Xenopus tropicalis: one gene and its partner. The protein of the gene in region 1 interacts with the protein of each later gene in a biochemical or structural test. Links are inferred from orthologs where the notes say so. Each region holds a gene or a part of one and is shown on either strand. Other genes may lie near its edges.

Region 1 (4,784 bases):
CAAACATACTACCTGACTATTCAAAAAAGGAGAAGACTTGCACAACTATGCTATGGCACAGTGATGTGAAGATGATCAACATTTCACAAAATGCATTAAAGTCAATAGTTGTCAGCATTTCTTTCCAGCTCAAAAAGAATGTGTTTTTTTTTTTTTTTTTTTAAATCAACAAAACAAAATGCATGAAGATGTGGCAATTTGATGTTGGACACACTGACCAAAGCAGATGAACATGCCAGTGTTATTAGAGCACATGGAATGAAAAAAGCAAATGTGACAAAATCACTAATGTTATATTCTTACTGAGCAGTAGGGTTATAATTGTTTTGTTAAAAAAAAAAAAAAAAACCACTGATACATAATAAATATGCTCCTATGGGTCAGATGGGATGGAAGTATAAGCGTATGATCAGGATAAACGCATTTCAAAGTATGAGTTCTCCTTCCTTGAACATCACATCAGACTCACTGGCTTATTTACCAACATGGGGAAGTGACCTATGCCAACTATTCAGTATTTTACTTTAATTATTCTACCTGCAGCTGTCAAGGTAAAGGTAAACAACGGTGTTACTGTCCATATGTTGGTCAATAAGCCCCACTCTACTCACACTTCTCCAGCAATGCATGTGTATTTTTTCATTGTTTCATTGAAGGGAAGAATGGATTCAGGTTATACAACATGTAGCCGACAACCTTAAGAAACAGGAAGAAGAAATGATGGAGGTTCGGTCTGGCGACTCCCCAAGCGATAACTCTGGAGCCGAGGAAATGGAAGTTTCTCATTCGAAACCAAAACATAAAGTAGTAAGTGTCATTTTAATGTAAAATGTACAGGTTTGTAAGTAAGGGCTTTTTTATTAAATGGCACTATATTTATCAACAATGGAGCCAGACAAGTTATCCTAGTAACTCCGCTGTCTTTCAGTGGCCCCACCAAGCACAGAATTCCCTATCCAAATGTGACTAATATTGTATGCAAGGATGTCATACAGCTATAAAACTGATGGTTATATTATGTTATTAGATCAGTAAATTGGCCTTGCTTTATCTGAATTGGTACCATTTAACAGAGTGTTGAATTACAAATACATTTATTTAATCTCAACAGACAATGAATGAATTTGAGTATCTCAAGCTTTTGGGGAAAGGAACATTTGGGAAAGTTATTTTAGTCAAAGAGAAAGCAACAGGAAGATATTACGCTATGAAAATTTTAAAAAAAGAAGTTATTGTTGCAAAGGTAAGTGACCCGGAATTTCTCCAGGAATTCCCTCTCTCTCCCCGGAATGGTTATAGCATTCACTTTCTTGTATCAGCTCTTATTCTCATTCCTCGAGACAGTGCTTGTCTTTGATCTTTCATTCATTTATTTATTTATTTTTAAATAAAAAAAAATGTTTGAGGTATGCAGTGTCCATGGCAAATTCAGTAGCAGGACACCACTAAATTGAAGCAACATGGATATATTATTTTATGAAGATAAAACACACTTGTTATATAAGAGTGGCTGCTTGCCTAATGAATTGATAAATTCCAGTCCACCAGTCAGCAGCTTGGTGAAATCTGCTCTAGAATGAGTATTCTGTACCTTAAATGTTTCTTTTTTTCAGGATGAAGTAGCTCACACGCTAACAGAAAACCGCGTCCTGCAGAATTCTAGGCATCCCTTCCTAACAGTAAGTTTTAAATAGAAACATTGTGTTTTTTGCATTAATAATAAAGTTACCATGGAAAATGTATGTAAATATCTTGTAAGTTGGTTTCATAAGATACCACCATAATTATGGGTGTGTTTTATGGCTATTTGATAGCCCTGGATAAGAACTAGAACCATTGTATTTAATTGAGCTCATTTGTTAACTACTATATAGCCTATAGCCCAATTTCAACTTGAATGGTTGCCCCCATAGCTACACAGCAGCTTTTAAAGGAGAAGGAAAGACTAAGTCACTGGGGGGTGCCAAAATGTAAGCCACCCCCAGAGACTTTAATTGCTTACCTTTTACCCTGGGCTAGTGCTCCTGTGAGAAGAAGGAGTGTTTCCTTCCTTCTTCTGTCTTTGCGCCGGCCCCAGGATTCAGAAGAAAGAAGTAAGAGGAAACACTTGCTGCAGCTTCCCTGGGCTTATGTGGCTTCTCCTAATAGGAGCACCAGCCCGGGGTAAAAGGTAAGCGATTAAAGTTAAAAGGTAAGCAAGTAAGATTTTTACCTTTCGACTGCAGCCACAACAACTGCAGTCCTTGTAGACATAAAAATGAATGCTGTTTACTAATAATTTGTTTTTCTGGCCTATGGAGAAACCAGTATGGAAGCTGTAACAGATTATCCATAATTTTTAAAACAGCATCCTACATTTAACTTGCTGCTATTGCTGTGGCAATATAGTAAATATGTATTATATTTTAATGTTTTCAGTCCGTTCCTCTGAATTTATTGTTCCTTTAATGGCTGACCCTGAGGCTTTCCCCTCTGTGATATCTCATGGGTATGATGGGTGTTGGGCTTGCGTAGTGCAGCTTTTGCAGGGTCAGTTTGTTTAATTTGGCACCAATTTATAAAGTTCAGAAGACGGTTGGTTACTCAACTTTAATTTCTTGTAGGCACTGAAATATTCCTTTCAGACACATGATCGCTTATGTTTTGTCATGGAGTATGCCAATGGAGGAGAGGTTAGTACTGAGTAAATCTATCTTTCTATTGCCATTTCTATTATTTCCTACTCTGCACTGAAGTTGGTGCATTGGGGGAATCGTCTGATATGTGCTGATACTGGGCCATTTTTCATATGAGGCAAAAGAAGGTCAGTTTTGGTGCACAAAGCCGCCAAGGGGTTTTGTACTGGGAAGTGCAGCAGATCAGCTCAGAGCTGCAGTTATCGCCAGAAACCATAATGGCGAACATTTTTGGGTAATGTTTACTCAAGCAGGGCTATGCTTCATATTGATGTTGATGGTAAGTGACTCACAGAGGGGAGCGGGTATTTTCATTACATCAGCATGAAGTTCACCCCCTATGTGCCATAGATTTGACAGTAATATAAATGTGTTATTATATTATTATTATATTGTATATTATTAACCACCATCCTGCCGGTGCTATAAAACAGAAAGCCAATCAATAATCATGTTGTACATGTATTTAATCCACTGCTATAAAACTGCAGTGCTGTCTTTTTCTCCCCCTCCTTTATTTCTTCATATTTTTATGGTACAGACTAAGAAACTGCCCCTTCACCCCTATCTGCGCTATGGTTTGTCTGCAACTAGAGACACTGCACCCAGATCAGCTCTGTGTGTCTGTACCCAGGCGAGGCAGTGTCTCTGGGTGCAGACACCCCATAGATCAGATCGGAGAGGAGGGATAGTTTATCGGCCTGTGCTTATACACAGGCCAAGAAACTGCTCCGTGTTGCCCTGAACCGACTGCACCTATTCCAGTCGTTATAATTCGATCGTTTGGCCCCAGTAAATCACCAGTGGAAAGGCATATGCGTTGCATAGGTTTACTGAAATTGGCCAAAGTTTCCTTGTGAGGGAATGTTGGCAACTTAAAGGAACAGTAACACCAAAAAAATAAAGTGTATACAAGTAATAGCAATATAATGTACTGTTGCCCTCCATTGCTACAACTGGTGTGTTTGCCTCAGAAAGACTACTATAGTTTATATAAGTAAGCTGCTGTGTAGCCATGGGGGCAGCCATTCAAAGGAGAAAAGGCACAGGTTACTTAGCAGATAACAGATAAACCCCCATTATATGGGGCTTATCTACTAGTTATCTGCTATGTAAACTGTGCCTTTTTTCCAGCTTGAATGGCTGCCCCCATGGCTACACAGCAGCTTATTTATATAGTAGCTTTTCTGTAGCAAAAACACCAGTTTTTTGCAGAGCAACAGCACATTATATTTTAATTACTTTAAAACACTTTAATTTTTTGATGTTACTGTTCCTTTAATGATCTGTATGCCTTCCCACCAGCGATTCATATTATTGCTGGTGGAAAGGCATTTCAGAGAGATTAGTCTTCCATGGTATTGAGGATTTTTCATGGGCTCACTGTGGGCATCTCTAATCTCACTGTGGGTCATAGGGCCTTAGGTCTCGGATACCAAACACCCCCAGAGCACACGTTTGTGCTTGTAAATCATATGTTCCAATAGACTCCTACAAATGTTAACAGTACTTCAGCCTATCAGATCCTCATGCTGCCCACAGTACAATGGGACAAGAATACTCTGTGTTTAAAATTAACAGAGGAAAAGGGTTAATTTATTAGAAGATTCAATAGTTTTCTTTTTTCTCTAGTTATTCTTCCACTTATCAAGAGAACGTATATTCTCTGAAGATCGTGCCCGGTTTTATGGGGCAGAGATTGTTTCTGCTTTAGATTATCTTCATTCTGAGAAAAATGTAGTTTACAGAGACTTAAAGGTAAGTGTGCTCAGTGCTTATGAGTTGTTGAAGCTTTTTACCCTTTCATATTAACACACAAATTAATAAGGACAAAGCCATTGCTAAATCTTCAGGTCCCTGGCTATGTCAAAAGACCATCCATTAATTGGCATACAGGTAATTGGATGGAGTGTTGGCAAAATGAGAGGTATGAGTAAAACCAGAGGGCTTTTTGGGAAGCTTTAACTACTACATTTTTTAGTAGCTAAAAAACGTCCAAACGCCCTCCTATAGTCTAGCATTGCAGTCACTTACCATATATATGTATATATGCATGGCTTGTTCCCATGCTTCCAAGCAAAAAAAAAAAAAAAAAAGCTTGTTCCCATG
Region 2 (4,884 bases), on another chromosome or scaffold:
TAATTAGCAGACCCCAACTGCTCCAGAGCAGGGAGGTCACATGACTATTCCCATGTGATCATGAAAAAAACAGATATACTGTAAACTAGTTCAGTAGATTCCTGTGTTGTACACAATGAAGAAAAAAATAATTAAGCACATTAGATTTTTTTCTAAATGATTGTAGCTACTGTATTTTGGAGCCACGCACTCAACTTGCATCTTTTAACCATTAATATACTTTAAAAATTCTTTGGGATTTAAATTTTTAAAGTATATTAATGGTTAAAAGATGCATGTGAATCAGTTGTTTGTTCATTTTATAATTTTGCATTCAAAATTGCACTATTTTTTATTGTTTTCATGGTAATATTAGATTTTTTGTAATTTTATGGAATTCTTCTTCTTTACTTTTTTTGCCTTTTTTGCAAACAATGTGCATATTTTGCTGTAGCCAAGTGTCAGCCGTGAAATGTTGCATGCACTACTTTGGGGCCACATTGGGGCTTTTATCACACATGCAACCAGTGTGTTGATTTTGCAGTAGCTAAAATTACAGCCATAAAAAATTCTATGCACTAATTTTAGTTTGGGCTCTCTACATGTCACATATTTTAGTTACTCATTTCATATTGGTCATTAAATTGTTCAGAAGACCCTGGCATTCACGTATAGGATGTTTTATTCTTGTACCTGAGGAAATGTGAGAGATAACATCATGTATACTGCATGCTTTGCATTGATTTTCAGACAAACCAACATCTGTAGCAAAGATTTGAAGTTTGGAGTAATAATAAAAACAAGCATATAGGTGTAAAAATGATGTATTTGCCCATATTTACCTATTTTGAGTTCATCTGAATGTAAACTTTTTAAAAATGTTTTTTCTCTGGTAAGTTTACTGACCCAGGCATTTTTGTCTTGCAATCTAGTATGCTGATTTCTGGTGCTTTGAAAATTCACTTTACTGTAGGTCAGTGGTTCTCAACCTGTGGGTCGGGACTATTTCACAGGGGTCGCCAAGACCATCGGAAAACACACATTTCAAATGGTCCTAGGAATAATTTTATGGTTGGGGGTCACCACAACATGAGGAACTGTATGAAAGGGTCGCGGCATTAGGAAGCTTGAGAATCATTGGTGTAGTAGATGTTTAACACATACACATAAGGAAACCCCATAAAACTATACACACTCTAGTCAGGTTACCACCTTACTGGTATTTTACCGTAAAATACCCTACACTGTGTCGATATCAGGCTTTCCAAATGAGTTGTATTATTTTTACTTGCAAAATAGGTTTGATTCCTCTAGATATGAAATTATTAGTCAATTAACAACGCAACGCTTTGTTTGCAGATTTGGAAGAAAGAAACGCTTTAATTGTATAGAGCAGGGGTAGGGAACCTACGGCTCGGGAGCCAGATGTGGCTCTTGATGGCTGCATCTGGCTCCCTGCCAAATCTTTAATAAAAAAAAATAATGTGGAGCGTGGCCTGCGCTTAGCGGATAGAAGACATGTTCTATGCCTTAGAACACATCTTCTATCCGCCAAGCGCAGGCCACGCCCTCCTCCGCGTCCGGCATCCTTACCAGGTTGCACTTGAACCAGGGCCCAGGGAACGGAGAGGGACATTGGAGCAGAAACCTGTCACGCTTGAATTGAAAATAAAATGTGACCAGTATGTCTCTGTTGGGGCTACAAAGAGAAGCCAACTGTGCACTGTGCTAGGTAGCCCTCTAGTTATACCACTAACAAGCCATATTGAACAGCTAAAGATGACACCCACCCTACCTTGCCCCACAGCATCCGCGGCCTTCGGCCTAGCTCCCGTTGGCCATTGTATGGCTCTCACGGAATTACATTTTAAAATATGTGGTGTTTATGGCTCTCTCAGTCAATAAGGTTCCCGACCCCTGGTATAGAGACCTAAGAATATGATTATAATATATAATAATTAAATCAATAGCTATTGCTTCGATTTTGTCTGTGTGTGTCACTGGGCCTGCAATAAACCATCCACCCTCCAGGCTTTTCTCTCAATGACTGCACTTGAGCGCTATCATTTATCGCCACGCCCATGCGACTAGACTCGGATCCATAAGGGCGTGGGGATGAGCGCAGCTTCCGATGACATCTCTAGGAAGTGACGTACGGCGAAGAAGCAAAGGAACTGGCTGAGGAGGAGGTGTGGAGCCATAAAGGAGAGGTTCGTGACGTCACGGCGGCCATTATACTGTACAGTACACTCTGAGAAAGAAGGAGCCGTAGCTGCAAAATTACAGCGGACTGTCTGATAACGTTATTTCTTTATTACCTCTACTAGCTCTGTACCTCTTACGAGGCGCTTTGAAGCCCTCTGGACTGTGTCCGTTTAGATACTGTCGCCTGAGATCCCGGCACTCCCCTGGGTTCCGTATTTTATTCAACTGACGGTCCCCACCCCTGCCAGCAGCGGTCGACTTGTTGGTTTTCTGACGCCATTCATTGGCTCTTGGTCCCTCCGAGGGCATACCCGGTGACTGCCTCCCTAGGCCGCCGGTCTTTTCCTTAGACAGCCATGGATGAAAAGGCGTTCACGAAGGAGTTGGATCAGTGGATCGAGCAGCTGAATGAGTGCAAGCAGCTATCGGAGAACCAGGTCAAGACTCTGTGCGAGAAGGTACGGGTGGCGCAATGGCAACTTTAAATAGACTGCTGGTAGCAGCCGTGATTATTTTAGAACTATACATATATATTAGCCTGCTGTGGAGCTACAGCCATCAATAGTAGTAGGTAGTTCCTAACGTCATATCGGTTTGTGGGCAGTAACATGGAGCGCACGTAGGTCTTGCGGGGGAGATCATTATTCCGTATTGGGGAACGCATTATTCCGTATGGAGGCCGTATCTTTCGCTATTACGGGTTGCTATACACTTTATACAACATGTAGGCTGGTTGGTAGACACATGAAACGTACTATATATGTCTATCGCCCTAATATATGTGGGAAGGCGTGTTACGGACACCGGGGGGCTAGCGTACAGGGGCTATAGTATCTGTAGTGTTTGCTGTACAGCAGCGCCCATGTGTGAGCTGCACTCGGCACGTCCCACTCCCGGCGAGAGGCTCTGTGGGCGCAGGCTCGGGCTGCTAAGCTCATGGCGCCTTTTGTCGTTCATAAGATGGCGGCTGCTCCACCCCCCGCAGGAATGCGCATGCACGCCAGGACGTGTCACTACTAGTGCGCGCCTCGGCCGGCGGCGCGCTCCCATTTGCTTGGAATGTTACAGGGAATGCAGGGGTCATGGGGATTCTTGGTACAGTGAACGTTGTGCTTTACGGCTCCTTGTAGTAAAGTAAGGCCATATTCTGCCAGAACCACGGGCTAACGTAATCCTGATCTATGGCTTGTTGGGAAAATGTGTTGGTGGAGATGCCACAGTCCAAAAGAGTGGTGGGAATTCCTTGTGTGCTGCTGTATAGGTTGGCCAGCCACTGAGCTAGGTAACATTCATTTGAACATCTCTCATTAAAATGAATAGATGCAGAGCTTTCTATTTATAATCACATATAAGTGGCAGTACAATAAATAGGTATATATATCAAACATGCAGATTTACATACAAAGCAGCCAATCACTGACACAAGAGGTAAAGAGGGCCCTGCCCAATAGAGCTTGCAATCTAAAAGGAGTTCACAGGGTTGGCGGTGGTATGCTTTTTGATGTTTTTCTATTTACGCCCAGGGATTATAAGAATGATGTTGTCCCTTGTGGTCCCTCCTGATGTAGCTAGCTGCGGTTAGTACCAGATTCAGCTGATGTTGGGCCGCAGGACAGTGATTGAGTACATTGGCCAATATTGTGGTGCAATCATGCTCCAGTGTGTTTTCCATGGCCATAGTTGTAGCTAGCTGCATCTAATAGGGCGGGCCACACAGTTACTCACTCTGGTAAATTATGTACAAGGTATGGCAACTTTGCCAAGAATCTCCGAAGCTCATGTAAAACGTGCAATTTTATGAAAACAGCACTGCTAGGAAGTGCATACAAATATTTTAGAATTGTTCAGAAATCTATAAATAAAAGTCAATTTTCTTAGTGCCAGGACTATAAACTTAAGGCTGAAGTGTCTATCAAAGGATTCTTAAAGTTTGATTCTGCTCCTATGAGCCTTTTTTGAGCTCACATTCATTTTCTGCTCTATGCCAGCCATTTTTAAGGCTGTACAAGAAGCGGGTTGTTCATGTGGGCCTTTCAGCTGTTGCTTAAGTAGAAAAATGCAGCCAAACCAATTGGTGTTACAGCTGGGATACAGAGAGGCTACTTATAGGCATGCTGTGAGAAATCCATTGTTAGCTGGCCAATAACCTGTGATTGCTTTTTGCCGGCATGGTCCATTTGGTACTAGGGATGCACAGTATTGGCAAAGGGACAGAGAAGCTCAAAGTAGACCCTTTCTGTGGAGAAGTGTGGCTTATTGACTGTATGGGCAGTGCTGCTTTTACCTCCATCAGCTTAATTAAATCCCCCTCTGTCCAAAAGTCATGTCTATTCGCAGATTTACAACAGTGTTGTGTAGTGTGCAGAAAGATCTGCCTGCCTGGGATGTACAATGCAGCTGCATTGCTTAGAGAAGTCTCTACCACTGCACCACGGGAAAGGCAATAATAAGTGTTTGTCACTGTTTTCCACATAAAGCAATCTTTTCTTTTCTCATCACGTGACGGTTATTCAAGCAAATGTAGCTGCAACTCTTTCTTTTTCAAGCCTTCTCTAGCTAAAAACTGACAGACTATGCATAGTACATGGATATGGGGCAGGATTAATGGGCCTCCATACTCGCAATTCCTTAATTAAAAGGATATCTTCATGTAAGAAACTTTACTATGAAATATAAAATAACTATAAACCGCTTTCAAAT

What was found. The genes of interacting proteins can lie anywhere in the genome.
Region 2: of the proteins of akt1 (region 1) and ppp2ca, one has a biochemical effect on the other in vitro, tested with the Homo sapiens proteins (6 studies listed by BioGRID and IntAct, with this or other methods). The link is inferred for Xenopus tropicalis from reciprocal best matches to the Homo sapiens genes AKT1 and PPP2CA.

The regions. Positions count from the first base shown.
Region 1 is NC_030684.2:99,689,162-99,693,945, reverse strand, and holds part of akt1 (RAC-alpha serine/threonine-protein kinase), read left to right. Parts: intron 1-656; coding exon 657-807; intron 808-1,111; coding exon 1,112-1,243; intron 1,244-1,613; coding exon 1,614-1,679; intron 1,680-2,603; coding exon 2,604-2,672; intron 2,673-4,307; coding exon 4,308-4,433; intron 4,434-4,784. UniProt on the Homo sapiens protein: AKT1 is one of 3 closely related serine/threonine-protein kinases (AKT1, AKT2 and AKT3) called the AKT kinase, and which regulate many processes including metabolism, proliferation, cell survival, growth and angiogenesis.
Region 2 is NC_030679.2:26,542,216-26,547,099, forward strand, and holds the start of ppp2ca (serine/threonine-protein phosphatase 2A catalytic subunit alpha isoform), read left to right. Parts: upstream 1-2,242; 5' UTR 2,243-2,540; coding exon 2,541-2,642; intron 2,643-4,884. UniProt on the Homo sapiens protein: Catalytic subunit of protein phosphatase 2A (PP2A), a serine/threonine phosphatase involved in the regulation of a wide variety of enzymes, signal transduction pathways, and cellular events.